3 linked regions of the Macaca fascicularis genome follow. The protein of the gene in region 1 binds, or shares a complex with, the protein of each later gene. Links are inferred from orthologs where the notes say so. Each region holds a gene or a part of one and is shown on either strand. Other genes may lie near its edges. The genes, in order: calpain-2 catalytic subunit, CAPNS1 and CAST.

Evidence for each region.
Region 2: the proteins of calpain-2 catalytic subunit (region 1) and CAPNS1 are in contact, whole or in part, in a crystal structure (PDB 1KFU), measured with the Homo sapiens proteins. The link is inferred for Macaca fascicularis from reciprocal best matches to the Homo sapiens genes CAPN2 and CAPNS1. Residues at the interface, in NP_001739.3 of Homo sapiens: Ala2, Gly3, Ile4, Ala5, Lys7, Leu8, Ala9, Arg12, Glu13, Glu16, Phe60, Arg366, Arg416, Arg417, Arg418, Arg420, Asp494, Ile516, Phe551, Glu575, Lys578, Val581, Asp582, Asp585, Gly588, Ser589, Gly590, Gln641, Leu642, Gln644; in NP_001003962.1 of Homo sapiens: Thr85, His86, Ser88, Asp111, Asp112, Met113, Glu114, Ser116, Thr118, Asp142, Arg145, Ser146, Ala149, Val150, Met151, Asp152, Ser153, Asp154, Thr155, Thr156, Gly157, Gly160, Phe161, Glu163, Asn206, His208, Leu209, Met212, Ile213, Arg215.
Region 3: the proteins of calpain-2 catalytic subunit (region 1) and CAST are in contact, whole or in part, in a crystal structure (PDB 3BOW), measured with the Rattus norvegicus proteins. The link is inferred for Macaca fascicularis from reciprocal best matches to the Homo sapiens genes CAPN2 and CAST. Residues at the interface, in NP_058812.1 of Rattus norvegicus: Glu62, Leu63, Ser68, Lys69, Gln99, Gly100, Ala101, Leu102, Gly103, Trp106, Lys161, Asp162, Leu165, Leu166, His169, Ser196, Gly197, Gly198, Thr200, Ser241, Asp243, Ile244, Thr245, Asp249, Ser250, Glu251, Ala252, Val253, Val259, Lys260; in NP_445747.2 of Rattus norvegicus: Glu571, Leu572, Asp573, Ala575, Leu576, Asp577, Glu578, Leu579, Ser580, Ser582, Leu583, Gly584, Gln585, Arg586, Gln587, Pro588, Leu596, Asp597, Asp598, Lys599, Val600, Lys601, Glu602, Lys603, Ile604, Lys605, Ala606, Glu607, His608, Ser609.

Annotation. Positions count from the first base shown.
Region 1 is NC_088375.1:81,673,345-81,679,334, forward strand, and holds the start of calpain-2 catalytic subunit, read left to right. Parts: upstream 1-2,400; 5' UTR 2,401-2,502; coding exon 2,503-2,739; intron 2,740-5,990. UniProt on the Homo sapiens protein: Calcium-regulated non-lysosomal thiol-protease which catalyzes limited proteolysis of substrates involved in cytoskeletal remodeling and signal transduction. Proteolytically cleaves MYOC at 'Arg-226'.
Region 2 is NC_088393.1:43,385,143-43,391,038, forward strand, and holds the start of CAPNS1 (calpain small subunit 1), read left to right. Parts: upstream 1-1,995; 5' UTR 1,996-2,087; intron 2,088-2,910; exon of another isoform or gene 2,911-2,913; 5' UTR 2,914-2,925; coding exon 2,926-3,128; intron 3,129-4,209; coding exon 4,210-4,243; intron 4,244-4,560; coding exon 4,561-4,650; intron 4,651-4,816; coding exon 4,817-4,874; intron 4,875-4,971; coding exon 4,972-5,036; intron 5,037-5,896. UniProt on the Homo sapiens protein: Regulatory subunit of the calcium-regulated non-lysosomal thiol-protease which catalyzes limited proteolysis of substrates involved in cytoskeletal remodeling and signal transduction. Essential for embryonic development.
Region 3 is NC_088380.1:100,740,144-100,745,363, forward strand, and holds part of CAST (calpastatin), read left to right. Parts: intron 1-2,312; coding exon 2,313-2,417; intron 2,418-3,136; coding exon 3,137-3,229; intron 3,230-4,512; coding exon 4,513-4,557; intron 4,558-4,974; coding exon 4,975-5,067; intron 5,068-5,220.

The sequences.
Region 1 (5,990 bases):
ATCCCAGCTACTTGAGAGGCTGAGGCAGGAGAATCACTGGAACCTGGGAGGCAGAGGTTGCAGTTCGCTGAGATCGTTGAGATCATGTCACTGCACTCCAGCCTGGCTGACAGGGGGAGACTACATCTCAAAAAAAAAAAAAAACAACGAAAGGCTAGAGCCAGATCTTCTGGAAGGAGATGCTCTAAACCAGGCTCTCAGCCTCTGCATGACTGATGTCTTGGACTAGATCATCTTTTGGGTGCAGAATGTAAACCAAAAATAAAATTCTAAGCCCCCACTGCACCCCTCCACCCCCAACCATCTAAATGGATGGTTTCCCCTTAGTCGGGGCTCTTAAAATTTTAACCTGAAATTTTCAGGCCATGAAGGAAAGGGGAGGTTAGACATGCCTCATTATACCTCTCCGGTGTGAACATCAATGCAGGCTTTAGGTCTGATAAGAAACATTTTACAGCCTGTTCACTCTGAAGCCTGCTAGTTAAAAGTTTCATCTATGTGATAAAACTTTTGTCTCCACAACCTCTTATTGCAACCCAAACATTCCTTTCTATTGATCCCAGGCCTTTAGGCAAACTTAACCAATTGTCAACCAGAAAATGTTAAAATATTTACCTATATCCTGGAAGCCACTCCCACTGCCCCCACCCACGCCCCCACCCCCCACCACCTCACTTTGAGTTGTCCTGCCATTCTGAACCAAACCAATGTATTTCTTAAATGTACTTAATTGATGATTCTTGCCTCCCTAACATGTATAAATCCAAGCTGCACCCCAACCACCTTGGGCACGTGTCCTCAGGGCTTCCTGTGTCACAGGTGTGCGTCTTCAACCATGGCAAAATTAACTTTCTAAATTAACTGAGACCTGTTTCAGGTTTTCTGGGTTCACAAGAGTTATCCCGGACATTGTAAGATGCTTAGTAGCATCCCTAACTTCTACTTAGTAAAGGCCAGTAGCACCTCATCTCCTAGCTGTGACAATAAAAACTATCTCCAGACATTCCCAAATGTTTCCTGGGGTGGGATATGGGACACAACTGCCCCAGTGGAGAACCACTGCTGTACACCATGCACAATTTTCCAGTGAAACCCAAATTCCTTCCTACTACTGTAGAGAAGGAGAGGAGGTAATTTCTTCCCATCTGCATTTCTTGGCACGCACCCATGTCTCTGTGTGTGAGCTGAGAATCACACCCTGACTCCACAACAGAGTGGTCACAGTAGCCAACACAGGCACTATTCTAAGCCCTCTCCAACAGTAACCCAACTCATCCTACCAGTTAAATATGAGTTTCAGATAAACAATGAATCATATTTTCTTTTAGTATAAGTATGTATACCCATGCAATATTTGGGGCCTACATATACTTTAAAAGTATCTGTTGTTTATCTGAAATTCAAATTAAACATTTGGGAGGGCTGTTGTTTTATTGGCCAAATCTTTTTATTTTATATTATATTATTTTATTTTTGATACGGTGTTTTGCTTTGTCACCCAGGCTGGAGTGTAGTGGCGCGATCTCGTCTCACTGCAACTTCTGCCTCCTGGGTTCAAGCAATTCTCCTGTCCCAGCCTCCCAAGTAACTGGGGTCACAGGCACCTGCCACAACGTATTTTTAGTAGAGACGGGGTTTCACCATGTTGGCCAGGCTGGTCTCGAACTCCTGACCTCAGGTGATCCACCTGCCTCCAGCCTCCCAAAGTGTTGGGATTACAGGCGTGAGCCACCGCGCCCAGCCTTACTGGCCAAATCTGACAACCCTATCTGTAATCAAATAAACAGCTGAGCAGTAGTAACTGCAGCATCGTGATTGCAACAGGCCTCCGTGGCTTAGAGTCCCTGTTCTGCCTGTGACCGTTGTGCCACATTGGGAAGTCATTTAGCCTCTCTGAGGCTCAGTTTTCTCATCTGTAAGATGGGAACAATATCAGTGCCTTCTTCAGAGTTGCTGGGAGGATTGAATGAGATGATGTATGCAGAGCCGTTAAGACGGTGTTTGGCACAAGGTTCAGGGCAGCTGATTTAGTTTCCTCAACTTCACTACCTGATCCTCTGCTAACTCCCCGGGTGTTTTCTGGACGGCCACAACTACCCTAGCCTCCGGTGTCGCCCAGCCTTCCTCCGCATTGAGTGTAAAGGTGGCCTCGGGTTCCGGTGGGAGCCCCAACTCTGGACCGCGATTCGCGAGCCTTCCCGGCGCCAGGCCGCGCCATCCCGGGAGCTGTCCGCAGATGGCAGCACTGGCCCCGGGTCGCGGCGGTCCCGGCGCTCCGCAGGCCGCAGGCTGGCCTGGTCCCGGGCCGGGAGCCCATCAGGCCGGGAGCGGCTGAGGCCACACCCCGCGGGCCGGGCCGCTTCCCTCCGGTGAATCATCGCTCGCAGTGGCTGCGCCCGCAGTGTCCGCAGCAGCGCGCCGGGCCCTGGCCGCGCCCCAGCCGAGCGCAGCGCGAAGTCGCCCCGACCTTTCTGTGAGCAGCACGGCCGCCGGGGCCGCAGCATGGCGGGCATCGCGGCCAAGCTGGTGAAGGACCGGGAGGCGGCCGAGGGGCTGGGCTCCCACGAGAGGGCCATCAAGTACCTCAACCAGGACTATGAGGCGCTGCGGAACGAGTGCCTGGAGGCCGGGACGCTCTTCCAGGACCCCTCCTTCCCAGCCATCCCCTCGGCCCTGGGCTTCAAGGAGTTGGGGCCCTACTCCAGCAAAACCCGGGGCATCGAGTGGAAGCGACCCACGGTAGGAAGTGCGCGGCAGGACGCGGGCAGGGCGGGGTGCCGGGCAGGGAGGGGTGCAGCTGGCCCGCGGCGCGCTGGGGCGCGGCTGCAGTGGGGAAGCCGCAAGCCAGGACCCCGCAGGCCTGCGACACCTACACGCCACCGGAGTCTGGGACTCCTTTCGAGCGTGGGGGAACTCACGGGGCCTGCCCTCTCTTCCACCCACCACGCTTTCCTGGGCGGGTCGGGGCGAATCACTGCACTCAAATCCCACTAGCAGGCCAATTTAGGACTTCACAAAAACTCAGGGTGACACAGGAGGCCGGGGTGAAACTTGTAATTGAACTGTAGCGGGGACCTGGAAGAGGAGGGGAATCGGGTCTGCAGAGAAGGGAGAGGCAACATCCACCAGACAAAGTCCGTCTCCAACTGGGGTTCTGTCTGTTCGTGGAGGGGGACAGGCCAGAGCCTGGTCATTTTGTGACTAAGGATAGTCTCATGCAGCCCTGGGGTTACATTTATTTTTCCAAAGGGGAGCCAGCGATACCTCCCCATAACATCGACAATGGTAATTAACCCAGGACACGGAGGTGTCTCATGGTTTGCCTGGTGGGAATCCTCACTGGGGAAAGCTCCGGGAGCCCTCCAGACCCCATTATCCCGTCCCCCAGGGTCTCTGACCTCCCGGCCCTGGGACAACTTGCCCTCCCCAATCTACTTGTCCATTCCGTTTCTTGGGGAACCGCCTCCTTTGGGACTTCCCCAGGCTTCCCCTACCACGCCTAGGGAAGCCTGCCTGAAGTCCAACTTCTAGATTCCTGTTATGAGAACAAGCCTTCCAGCTCTGCTTCCACACCCGGCAGCCTCCCAGGTCACCTTCTGTTTCCCTAAATCCAGCTCATAGGTAGCGAGGGCTGCAGGAAGCACCCTAGCCCAGACTCAGAGCACTTGGATTCACCTTCTTGCTAACCTGCTGGGTGACCTTGAGGAAGCGGTTTAAACTCTCTGTGCCTCCGTGTCTTCATCTAAAATAACACACCCTGCCTAGATATTTTCTCTCTTTCGTGGCCCTCCAGACCCTGCCATCCTGGCCTCCTTTCAGTCTCTCAAAGAGCCAGTTCTTGCCTGCACGAGGCCTTCTCACCAGCAAGGCACGCTCTTACCTGGAGTGTGGCTCACTCTCATTCTTTCCAACTTAGTCACATGTTCCCTCCTCAAACAGGTATTTTCTGACCCTTCTTAGCAGCCACCTCCCCACCTTGTTATTCTCTAACTCTCACCCCACTCATTTCCTTCATAGCATTGTCACAGTTTAGAAATATAATCACATGTATTTGTTCTTCCTACTGAACTGCAGGAATCATGTGTATATTATTTACCAGTATATCCCCAGTGCCTAGCACATAGCCATGCCTTTCACAGTATTCATCCATTCATTCATTCACTCATTCATTCAACAACATTGATGGAGCACCTATTACATGCCAGGCACTGTCCTGAGAGCTCAGGAGATACACTAGTGAACACAAAAGAAGTGACTGTAGAATGAATGGATGCAGGATTGTAATGAGCCTCAGATGAAATTATGGTTGCGAAAGTGGTAAACTGACCTGACGTGGTGCCTCACGCCTGTAATCCCAGCACTATGGGAGGCCAAGGTGGGAGGATCACTTGAGCCAGGAGTTCAAGACCAGCCCGGGCAACACAGTAAGACTTGTCTCTATAAAAAAAGTAAAAAAAAAAAAAAAAATGAAACGCAAACCAAGAGAATGTGTTCACTTTACATTTGCATGGCACTTTACAGTTTACACAGTGAGTTCACACTCATTCACTTATTCTTTCGTTCATTCAATAAGCATTTCTCGAATACCTCCTATATGCTAGGCACAATGCATATGGTTTCTGCTTCTGAAGACTTACTTCTGAGGCTAGTGAGGTGACAGAGACAGGTCCCCCAACAGTTGGAAATGCCTGTGGGACTTCCAGATGAGGATATAGAGGTCTAGAGATGATCTAGGGCCACTGCTTAGGGCAGGCGGGCTGTGCACTGCACTACCAAGGAAGAGTGTGACTATTACGATCCCCATTTGCCAGTTGAAGAAATTGAGGCTTGGGAAGGTTAAATCCTTGCTCAGAGTCAAGTGGATATAGGCCATAGATCCAGGACTGTGTGTAGTCTGTGCATGTTGAGCCCACCCTTTATGGCTGCGTTGTCTGCCTCTATCCTACCTTCTCAAATGCTGCTGAGGTCTGGCAAGGAGAGCACAATTGTTTCCACTGGATTTGAACACTAGCAGGTCATTGGTGAGTTTAGCAGAGCAATTTCAATGGAAAGGTGAGGGTAGAAGCCAGATTGTTATAGACTCCAGAGTAAAGGAACTGGAAATGAAGAACGTGATCAACTCATTTAAGAAGGGCCCCTGGGAAGAGAGGAGAACTGATAGGTAGAGCAGGACCTGGATTTTGAGAGCCGGTTTTTTTTTTTTCATATGAGAACAACTTGAATGTGTCACATGTTGAATCACGAGGAGGAAGGGATTAAAGATAAAGGCAGGGAGGGGCAGTGAAACAGGGTCCCTGAGGAAGTGAGAATACGGGTTGTGGGCAGGAGAGGGGAGCAGGTTAGCCTTGCAGCAGGAGGAGCTGCTCTTCCTCGGAGAGAGGATTTCACAACACTGGCAAGAGTGGCTCCAGCACCTGGAAGGGGGATTAAAGCAGTAAGTCCAGTGGGGTCCAAGGACCATGCAGGGGCACAGTGAGGAGAAAGCAGGCGTGATCCGGGTGGCACATCAGATCCTCCCAGCAACCAGTCCATTAGGAGCAAGGGCAGATATTGTGAGCCCCTATGTTTCCCCCAAGAAAATCAAACCTCTGAGAGGTTTCTCACTTGCTTATCTTCAGCTGGCCAAACTCAGCCTCAAACCCATATGTCCTGTCTCCAAGTTCAGTGACTGTTATCATCAACTTCTTCAACAGTAGTAATAATAGATCACATTTATGGAGTGCTTGCCAGGGCATGTTTACATCATTATCTCATTTAACACTCAGAACAATCCTCTGAGTTGGGTATTTTCATTGTTCCCATTTTGCAGGTGAAAAAACTGAGGCTTCAAAAGATTAGGTGACTTTCCAGGGTCCTAGGACCTATACAATAAGTGGCAGAGCCCGGATTTAAACCCAGGTTATCAGAATAATGCAGCAAAGCCCAAACCCTCAACCCCTTTTCACTGACTGGTAAGTCCCATATTTGATTCGATGCACTACATGCTGTGC
Region 2 (5,896 bases), on another chromosome or scaffold:
TCCTCCCACCTGTCTCCAGAGTAGCTGGGACTAGGCACATGCCACCACACTCAGCTAATTTCTATATTATTATTATTTGTAGAGACAAGTTCTCACTATATTGCCCAGGCTGGAGTCGAACTCCTGAGCTCAAGAGATCCTTCTGCCTCAGCCTCCCAAAGTGCAGGGCATACAGGCATGAACTATCACACCCAGCCACTGCTTTAAGTTTTTTTTTAATAATCAGTATTCCTGCAGATATCATTTAATTTTTTTTTTTTTTTTTTTTTTTTGAGACGGAGTCTCGCTCTGTCGCCCAGGCTGGAGTGCAGTGCCCGGATCTCAGCTCACTGCAAGCTCCGCCTCCCGGATTCACGCCATTCTCTTGCCTCAGCCTCCCTAGTAGCTGGGACTACAGGCGCCCGCCACCTCGCCCGGCTAGTTTTTTGAATTTTTTAGTACAGACGGGGTTTCACTGGGTTAGCCAGGATGATCTCAATCTCCTGACCTCGTGATCCACGAGTCTCGGCCTCCCAAAGTGCTGGGATTACAGGCTTGAGCCACCGTGCTCTGCCGATATCATTTAATTTTGATAGGGGGCCTAGTGGTATGGAGCAACCCATGATCACATTTTACAGATGAGAAAATTGCTGCTCAGGAATATCAAGTCACTGTTTTGGGGTTGTGCAGTTATTACAGGGCATAGCCAGGATTCAACTCAAGCCTAGCCAGCCTCCAGGGTAGGGACTAAGAGCCAACCAGCCTGCCTGGGGGCCATATTTAGCTGCCCCTGAGGAGTCCTGAAAAAGTACTGGACACCTGTGGCTCACGCCTGTAATCCCAGCACTTTGGCAGGCCGAGGCGGGTGGATCACCTAAGATCAGGAGTTTGAGACTAGCCTGGTCAACATGGCGAAACCCCGTCTCTACCAAAAATACAAAAATTAGCTGGGCGTGGTGGTGCACGCCTGTAATCCTAGCTACTCGGGAGGTTGAGGCAGGAGAATCGCTTGAACCTGGGAGGCGGAGACTGCAGTGAGCCAAGATGGCGCCATTGCACTCCAGCCTGGGCAACAGAGCAAGATGCTGTCTCAAAAAAAAAAAAAAAGAAAAGAAAGAAAAAAACCAGGCTATGTAAAAACAATATTGTTAAAAATTAAATTAAATCAAAAAAAGGCCGGTAGCCCATACCTGTATTCCCAGTACCTCCCAGTACTTTGGGAAGCTGAGGCAGGAGGATGGCTTGAGGGCAGAGATGGCTTGAGGCCCGGAGTTCAAGAGCAGCCTGAGCAACATGGCTAGACCTCCGTCTCTATTACGTAAAAACAACAATATTTTTTAAGTAAATAAAGAAACCCGGCCGCCGCCAAAGGAATCTTCCTGTGTCTGGGGCCTTCTTTAGACACTAGCATACTGAGGACACCCTTTGGGCCAGTCCAGGAAGGAATGATTCATGTGGCCCCTGACTGGGGCGGGACGTGGTAAGGTTCGCCTGGGAGGCGGCGCCTGCGCTGCCTGCGGTTTGACTGCCATCCGGGCTGCTGCAGGCACTGGGAAAGGCACTCCAGCCTCAGTCCTCGCCACAGACACGGGCGATTGTCCTCCTGCGTGTGAGCCAAAGCATACTACAGGCCTCCAGGAGGTGTTTGTCGCGACAACACCTGGAAAGGGCCCGTGCGGAGTCCCTTAGTGAGCGGACCGAAAACTGCCACCCTGGAAGGATATTGGCAGGCCCTAGGGGCTGTCACACTACGACACTGGGGGGGTGTGGGTCTCCTCCGAGTTCTCATCACCCGGCGCCTGCACCCAGACCTGAGGGGTGTCGGGAAGACCCCAGCCTACCGAGTCAGGGCGGGGTTAAGACCTCCGGCGCTGGAAACGTGTAGGGCGGGGCCCAAATCCGGGTCCCGCTAGCAGGGCGATGTGGGGTGCGCATGCGCAATGTCCGCTTCGGCTCTAGGACCGCGCGGGAGACAGCCGGGCCGCGGTGCAGTGTCAGACCCGAGAGTTGCGGCCTGAGTCACCGGCCCCGCCCTCAGGAGCCGGACGCTGCGGGAGGCCCGGGAGCGGCAGCGGAACGGACTCCCAGACCTTTGGACGCGTGAGGTGGTAAGCGCCCAGCCCGTACCCCCTCCGCACCCCGCAATTCCGGCTTTGGCGGCCCCCAGACCTGGCGAACCGTGAAGTCTCGGCCTCAGGAGCCCCCCAGATCCATGGTCTCAGATTCGAACCCTCAGACCTGTTCGACACCCTTTCATGCCGTCCCGGGGACGTCCCCTACTTCTCCACCCTCTGTCTCATGATCCAAAATACAGGCCCATAGGTTTCAGAGATACCCTGTGAATTCTTCCTTGGGGTGTCTTGAACCACGATCGTAGATCTGTGCCCCCAGTTCCAGCGAGGGACCCCATTATCCGGGAACCCAGGGCTCACAGCCACGATCTTAGACCCGAGCCCACAAAGCCAGAGGTGACACTGGAATCCTGCCGCTGGGAATACCTGAATTCTCAAGCCCACATTTAGGATTTCCTAAACCCCGCCCTGGGGCCCTTTAGGCGGTGGATGTTTGCTCCGCGCCCATGACCCGCCAAGGACCTTTACATTCAGTCTGGGCTCTGGATCTCACATTCTAGCGCCCAGACACGTCGGGCACGCCTTACGCCAACTTGGGGTCCCCACCAAGAGAACCCCCACCAGACCTACACCCTCCCGTTAACGCGTGCACCCAGTCCAGGCTCCCTCAAGCCCACGGGTGCCTTTTAGACCCGAGGAGGTTGCAAACCTTGCGAGGACAACCCGCCCTCGCAAACTCAGACCCCCATCCGGAGGCCTCAGATCCCTTCTCCCGTGTCCAGCTGCCGGAAATGCGTGTTTGAGGGGAGGGTGTGGGCTCAGGGGCGAAGCACCCACTGGTCCCCTTTTTTCCCCCCAGCAGTGAGTCGCAGCCATGTTCCTGGTTAACTCGTTCTTGAAGGGCGGCGGCGGCGGCGGCGGGGCAGGCGGGGGCCTGGGTGGGGGCCTGGGGAATGTGCTTGGAGGCCTGATCAGCGGGGCCGGGGGCGGCGGCGGCGGTGGTGGAGGCGGCGGCGGAGGCGGCGGTGGCGGTGGAACTGCCATGCGCATCCTAGGCGGAGTCATCAGCGCCATCAGGTAAGGCGGCGACTATCGGAGGGGCGGGGCCTGGAAGTGTGAATGGGAGGTGCCTCAGGGGGCGTGGTCCGGGAGGGGCGTGGTCTAACAATAATAGGATTAACCTGGAGGCTAACCTGGGTACCTGAATTAGGCCGGGGTGGCCTAGTTTGAGAGTCCTGTTATAAGGGGGTGGACCCCAATGAGGCGGATATCAGTCCTTGGGAGCGGGGCTTGATACGGGAGTAGTCTGATTGTGTGGGACCAGGACAATGTGGTCCTGAGGGGACCGATGTGGAGTTTTGGAGGGTGGGGCTTATGGGTCTGGGCCCGGCCTGCATTGGCTAACCTGGAGATGAACGTTAAAGGGGCGGAGCCAATGCGTCTGAGTGACATTTTACGGTCGGGGCTTGACTTATGAGTGTGGTCAGAGGTTTTAGGTGGGTTAATGAGGAGGTGAGCCCAGGAGAAAGCAAGACCTAATGGGATAGAGGAAATAGCCCAGAATGGGCTGGGCTTGCTGGGAACTGGCGGGATTAATGGAGAAAAATGCCCTGGTAGGGGTAGGGCAGGTTGGCCTAATTAGTCATGGCCACTGAGCAGTGATCCCTTGAAGGGACGGGGACCAATGGCTGGGGTAGGATGTTGGGAAGACAGGTGTTTAGGAAGGGGGCCATGGAGTAGAGTCTTGGGCAGATGGCACCTAAGGAGGATAAGACCTTGGGAAGCTGGGGCAGAGCCTCTATGAAGTGAGCCCTCCAAGGGGCGGGGGTTTTTGATTCTGTGTGGGATTTTTAGGTTGAGGGTGGCCGAGATGACTGGAATCTGCCACTGGGTAGGTGTGCCTGGCAGGAGTGGAGCCTCCCAGGGGACGGATCTCTGGGTCTCCTGAAGGGTGGGGTTGGCCTGAGGAAGGGAGAAGAGGGGCACGACCAGGGCCATGTGGATTGGGACAGATGAGGACAAGAACAGATGAAGGGCACAGCAACCAAGTAAGGAAGATAGCGGCTGACATCTGGAGCGTTGGGGCTGATGGTTCTGTAGTACTGCCCGTTGGAGGCCCCGCCCCCGACACTAACCCCTCCCCCTTATCTCTTCGCAGCGAGGCGGCTGCGCAATACAACCCGGAGCCCCCGGTAAGCCCACTCTGCAACCAGACCCCCTTCTCCTGCCAAGGCCTCTTCGAGGTCCCATTCCTGTTCCTGTAGAGAAGTCCCACCTTCCTCCCCTTCTTGTGAAATTCCTCTGCCAGTTCCTCCCGTGCCATGTCCGCAGCTTCGCCATGGGTCTTAGCCATGCCCCACATACGCGCACCCATTCACTACCACCTCTCATTCTTTTTCTCATCAAGCTGCCCAGCCCACTCTGACTTTCTCACCCAGGGTGCCTTGGTGTGGGGAGCCGTCCTGGCCGGGTTCCCCTCCCCCTGCTCTGAGCTCTCCTCCCTCTGCAGCCCCCACGCACACATTACTCCAACATTGAGGCCAACGAGAGTGAGGAGGTCCGGCAGTTCCGGAGACTCTTTGCCCAGCTGGCTGGAGATGTAAGTAACCTGGGGTTCCCTGACCCCGTCCTAACCCTTCCATCCCTTCCCTTGTGGCTGCCCTTGCGCACACACCCTTGACCGTGACAATCCCAGTGTTCCCATTCTCCATGACATTCTCAGACCCTTCAGTCACGCCTGACTTGCCCCTAACTTCCGTCTGCAGGACATGGAGGTCAGCGCCACAGAACTCATGAACATTCTCAATAAGGTTGTGACACGACGTAAGTGACCGGGCTCAAGGAATAGGGTAGGTTTAGAGGCAGAGGGGCCTGAGTGGCTTTGGCCTCTGGCCTCTGACTTTCAACCTGTTGCCCACAGACCCTGATCTGAAGACTGATGGTTTTGGCATTGACACGTGTCGCAGCATGGTGGCCGTGATGGATGTATCCTTGGGAGCAGTGTGGGAGAGGCCCTGGGTGCACAGGGAGTTTTTTGAGAGTATGTTTGGAAAGCCAATGTGTAGCCTTCATATCCACAGATGTGGAAATGCATTCATCAGAGCACACTCACCTACAGACATGTGGCAGTAAATCATAACAATGCCAGCTGTTACAGCTGGCACTTTAATTATATAAAGTGACCGAACCTTCACAACCACCCTGTTGGACAGGCACAATTATTATACTCCATTTTACAGATGAGGAAACTGAGGCTCAGTTTCCTGAGAGAAGCAGTCATTTGTCTCAAGTTATAGATAAAGGTCAGGCGTGGTGGCTCATGCCTGTAATCCCAACACTTTGGGAGGCCGAGGTGGGCAGATCACCTGAGGTCAGGAGTTCGAGACCAGCCTGGCCAACAGGGTGAAACCCCATCTCTATTAAAAAATACAAAAATTAGCCGGGCGTGGTGGTGTGCAGCTATAGTCTCAGCTACTTGGGAGGCTGAGGCAGGAGAATAGCTTAAACCCGGGAGGTGGAGGTTGCAGTGAGCAGAGGTTTCGTCACTCCAGTCTGTGGACTCAGGTCTTTTGGGCTTGGGAACCTAAATGTATAACAGCCACATGCACATGTACACACACACACACCTAAGAGCACACCCACATGCGTGAAAGTGTATGAGGCAGTGTGCTCAGGAACACACATATATCTGTATATGGGCCAGCCATCAGCTGACCTTTGATGCATGCATATTTTTATTTATTTTTGTTTTAAAAAATAGTTTATAAGGAGACAAACTTTCACTATATTGACCTGGCAAGTCTCAAACTCCTGACCTCAAGCAATCCTCCCGCCTTGGCCTCCCA
Region 3 (5,220 bases), on another chromosome or scaffold:
ATTTACATGCTGTGAGGCAAGGCTGTGGGACCAAAGCTTTTCCAGACTTCCTTGACTAATCACCTGTGCAATACCAAATTATACATTACCGAGGAGACCACAGAACATCAAATTATAAAGGGATTGCCCTAAACCAGATCCCCATCTCCTTTGCTTGAGAACAGTGCCTCATTTGCTAGATGGAGATGAAGTAACTTTAGTGAAGTCAGCTATGCTTCCATTCCTTTTGATGTAGCATCAAAGCATATTTAGTGCTGCAGTCTGAGATTCTGATGGATTTTCATCCTGTTGGGTCAGCTTCAGGATCATCTGAAAATATCCAGAGGCACAAATGACAAAGCCCAGACCTGGCCCCAGGCAGCTCTACCATTAGCAGCTATAATCCTGGATTATAATAAAGCACTTAAAACCAGTAAAATGCCCTGTGTGTGTGTATGTGTGTGTGTGTGCATGTGTGTGTAAACACACCCACAATGAAAAAAGTCCCCATGCAACAGAAAGGAAGAACCATTAATAGCCTAGGCTGCCATTTACACTTCAGTTCTTAATATTCAGGCCAGAGATTCTGCCCTGATGGAGGCTATCAGTAAACATTTGCAATCAGAAACTTTTTTGCCTTTAAGAAGTAGGTTTTCCAGTGACACTTCTCTGATCACATTTCCCATCAGAGAGTCTTGTTTTTAGTTAACATTTTATTTGAAGATGTCACTAAAACAAGGTATAAAGCTTTATTTAGATAAAAAATTGGGAAATCAAAGAGTCAAGCCATGATGATTCACGGGAGCTTTCTTTGCTGAGATTATTAGATTGTTATTAGCAGTGTTAGATACACTGAAAGCATCTGAAGACATGCTTTCAAAGATCTGTGTAATAAAATCACTCCAACAGGAAAAACTGCTTCAAAGAAAATAGAAGATCATGGATGTGACTAAGCCATGACAGGGAAAACCTTTATCAGTCCCAAGACCTGGGTTCTATTCACTTTTTAACAATTTGTTTTCAAACAACTGACTTAGCTTCCCTGAGCTTTTTACCTCCAAAAAGCCTGCTTAGTTCACTAAGAACCATTGTGGGCATCAAATAAAACTGGATAGTGTATGTGAAAACACTTTGAAAATCAACTGGAAAGTTCTATACAGTATTGGACAGAGTTCAGCATGGTATCTTATACAATGTAGATATTAAACACATTTTAATTGAATTCATTTAGAGGTGGAATTTTGAATGCAATGTGTTGAAAAATATTTTGAAACAAAACTTAGGATTTTGCTATAATAATACTAATAATAATTTACCATTTGTTGGGTCCTAACATACAACTAGTACTGTTTTAAATGCCTTTTCAATCATTTACTTTTCTCAGCAACTTAGGAGTATAGGTACTACTGTTATTCACATTTTATGGCCAAGGAAGCTGAGGCCGAAAGAGGTTAAATAAGCTGCCTGAATCATACAGTAAATAAATGTTAGAGGAATTCAGCTATCTTAGTTACAGTGACATTGTTGTTCCATAATTTTTTTCGTGTAGAATACCAGCTCCCATTTCTGCAATTTAGCTTCCATGAGCTTCCTAAAGATGAAAAGAGAGGTATCCCCACCAGTTCAGAAATTCTCTGAAGTCTTTCAGGCCACTCATACCAGTGTGGCAGAGAAGCCCCTTCCACTCTCCTGACCCCAGATTGTCTCTGGGGTTTTGCGTCCTAGGAGGTATTAGGATGGCAGTGCCGAGCTCCATGGCTTCCCACAAACTGCGGGTCATGCTGCACTTTATGAAATGCACCCCTCAAGATCTTAGAGTCTTAGAGAGGACCCACGGAACCAAAGAAACGCTCACCCTCTATAGTTGCAGAATCCTGCTTCCTAACCATCTGACAACATTAGTGGATATTTGTTTTCATATCGTTTTCTAATGGTGTTTAATTTCTAAATGAAAGACACACATGGTTGGTTCATTTGCTTTTGGACCCTTTATGTGACCTCCAGGTCACCCACTGGATATGGATCCTGAGGCTTCCACTAAGACCTTCTTAACCTGGGGATCTTCACCAAGACATGGGCGGGGTGGGTGGAAGGCGCTGGCCCTCCAACCCCAGAGGTTGACAGATGCTGCCGCTCTTCTCCTGATCTTCCATTCCTAGCCTTCTCTTCTCTGACCCTGTCTACTCCCCTGCCCCAGCCCCAGCCCCAGCCCCAGATGTCTTTTTCTTCCAAGGAAACAGGTTCCCTCCTGAAAAGATGGAGTTCCTGGGCTAATTTGCCTCTGATACAGTTTGGCTAATGAGTGACTAATTCGGCATTATTTACTTTTTTAGCAGAGTGACAAAGACCTCGATGATGCCTTGGATAAACTCTCCGATAGTCTAGGACAAAGGCAGCCTGACCCAGATGAGAACAAACCAATGGAGGATAAAGTAAAGGTAAAAAAAAAAAAAAATTCACTAATAAGTGAAATTTTAATCCTTGGGTCTTGACTCTGTCATTGTCGTAGGAATATTGATGTGAATTTAACCTATATTTTAAACATGAAATTATAAGGAAGTAGAAAAATCAATCTGTACTCCACTGGAGGGGAAGGTCACTGAATCTGTGACAAAGATACCAGCGGAGCCTCCCTGAGGAGATTCTGGGAGGTAGGTGTGGCGTATGCATGGCTTCCTCCCATGCAACACAAGCAGTCAGCACATCCATTCAAATTAGCTGTCGTCCTTCAAAGTCGCTTATAAATAGGCAAAGTTGTAAATATGACCTCTCTAAATGGCAGGGTATAGTGGCCTGATTTTTTTTATTAGAAAAGTGAAACCATACAGAAAAAAAGAAAAAGATATTTTATACCTTTGGGTTCTAATCTCCTAACATGGTTTCTGAGGATAATTATTTAATCATTTATTTCCATTTAAAATATAGCTAGAAAATTCACAGATATGAATTGACATACAGAAGCATATGGGATTATATATTTTAGCCAACTAGCAGTCTGTTGAAGTCATCTGTGTTGTTCTGTTGCTTAAATAATAAAAACAGACCATATGTTTTGCCTCATAAAAGTACAACAAATGCTGAATGCTACATTTGACAATGTATTTTCTAAGTGAAAGAGGAAATGAATATTAATTCTATCTGCTCACTGTTTATATAGGAAAAAGCAAAAGCTGAACATAGAGACAAGCTTGGAGAAAGAGATGACACTATCCCACCTGAATACAGACATCTCCTGGATGATAAGGGACAGGTAAACTGAGGCAAATTGCTAGATCGGATTTATGCTACAAAGATCTTTAAATTCAAACCTCCTTGAAATAAATAGTAGCTGTACTCTTTTACAATAGCATAAAGACATATCATGACTGACTGCTTTTAATGTGTCACCAAAGCTGACCAGCAGGTAAATATTTATTTGAGCCAATATCATTGTATATGCATATGCTAGGCTCTGTGGTATAAACAGGGTTGAATACTGTTCAGTCAGTCACTGATGCTTAAGAGTAATCCAAGAAATGTGATTCTCTCTTTCAAGAAAAGGCTATAAAAATCACTAAGGTGATAGGATTTCAAAGGAAGCAATCTCTGTTTAAGGACAGTAGAAAAGGAGCTGGTGTTGGGATAATTAATAGGGCAAATTAATAAGGCAGCTCCAAGACCTGGGGTCTCCCTATCTTCTTCTACATCACCATCAGCACTATTGCAAGTGAAGACAGGCAAAGCAATATTCCCAATCACAAATCCTGTTTCTCTGCCAAAAAGTCCCTGACCTTTTGTCTCCCACATGATAGAAACCAGTCTTTTGTAGGTCAACCAGGCCTGTCCCCCACCTCTTTCCTATTTGGTTTCTAACTTTTGAGTCCATTAGATGATAAATAACCCTTTCCATGCCTGTTCATCAAACAGAAAACAAGGAAGTCCAAATTACACCCTTCTCTTTCTGTACTGATTCATTTTGGTGAGATGATTCCTGGTTTAAATAGCACTGTCAGCTTCAGGGTCTCCTATTACAGGAACCAATTCTCCTTGCTTGCATTCAGTATTCCACAAGATAGCAATGCCACATCCTGCGAGAGCCCTTCCCACTTTGATAGTACCAACTCACCCTGCTTCCATTCTTTGGGAAATTTCTTATTTAAGGTCCTTGCCTTTGAAACTGGGAAAAATCCCTGATGACTTTCTAAGTGTAATAAACTATAGTAAATAAGATATAAAAACACAAGTAACTTTTTATAACACTTTAAGTAGAATTATAAGTGACAATACATGATGGCAGAAGGTTCACAAATAGTGTTTCTTTCACTTCCAGGACTCTTTCATATGTTTTCCCCAAGTCTATAGATATGATTATAAAGAATAGTAATTAAGCAAAGCTGCTAAAGAAATTATGGGGACCCAGGTTTATTAGTTATTGCAAGTCTACACTCCATTTTATCCAAGTCAAGTCATTGGATAATAGATTCTCTACTGCCTAAACCTAAGTAAACCTTTACAAATATCTATGCTTAACCAATAGTCTGCCTTCTTTTTAAGGACAAACCAGTGAAGCCACCTACAAAGAAATCAGAGGAATCAAAGGTAAAGACCATAGGAATATATTTCCATTAAATTTTGTTTTATTCTAGCCATAGGGTTATTTGGCATTTTAGAAAACTAAAACATTGAATGCCTACTCTGTGCCTGGTACTTCGCCAGAGCATGCATATAAATGTGTGTGACCATTGTTTATCTCTCATTTAGTCTTCACAAAAGCCCTTTAGGATAGAAAACTGAGGCTCAGAGAATACTAAGCAACATTTATTAAAAAGTAGAGGGAAAAAAAGCCATCAAGATTTTCTTGTTTTTCTATCTCCTTTACATTATTATTAGTATAGAATGTCAGTAAGTGTTTTTCTTATAGAAACATCTTTTATTTGTAAGTGAGGTGGGAAAATACCCCATATTGCATTTTGCCTTCTGCTTCTTCACTGATGGTTATTTCTACTCATATCTCAGAAATCTGCAGATGACCAAGACCCCATTGATGCTCTCTCAGGAGATCTGGATAGCTGTCCCTCCACTACAGAAACCTCACAGAACACAGCAAAGGTACTGTGCTTTTTCACATAGACTTTCTTTGAAATGTGTGTGTGTTTATGTGTACATACACACAAGTTTTATTGATTGATCTATCTATCTGTCTATCTATCTTGTAATAGGGTCTCACTCTGTAGCCCAGGCTGGAGTGCAGTGGTGTGATCT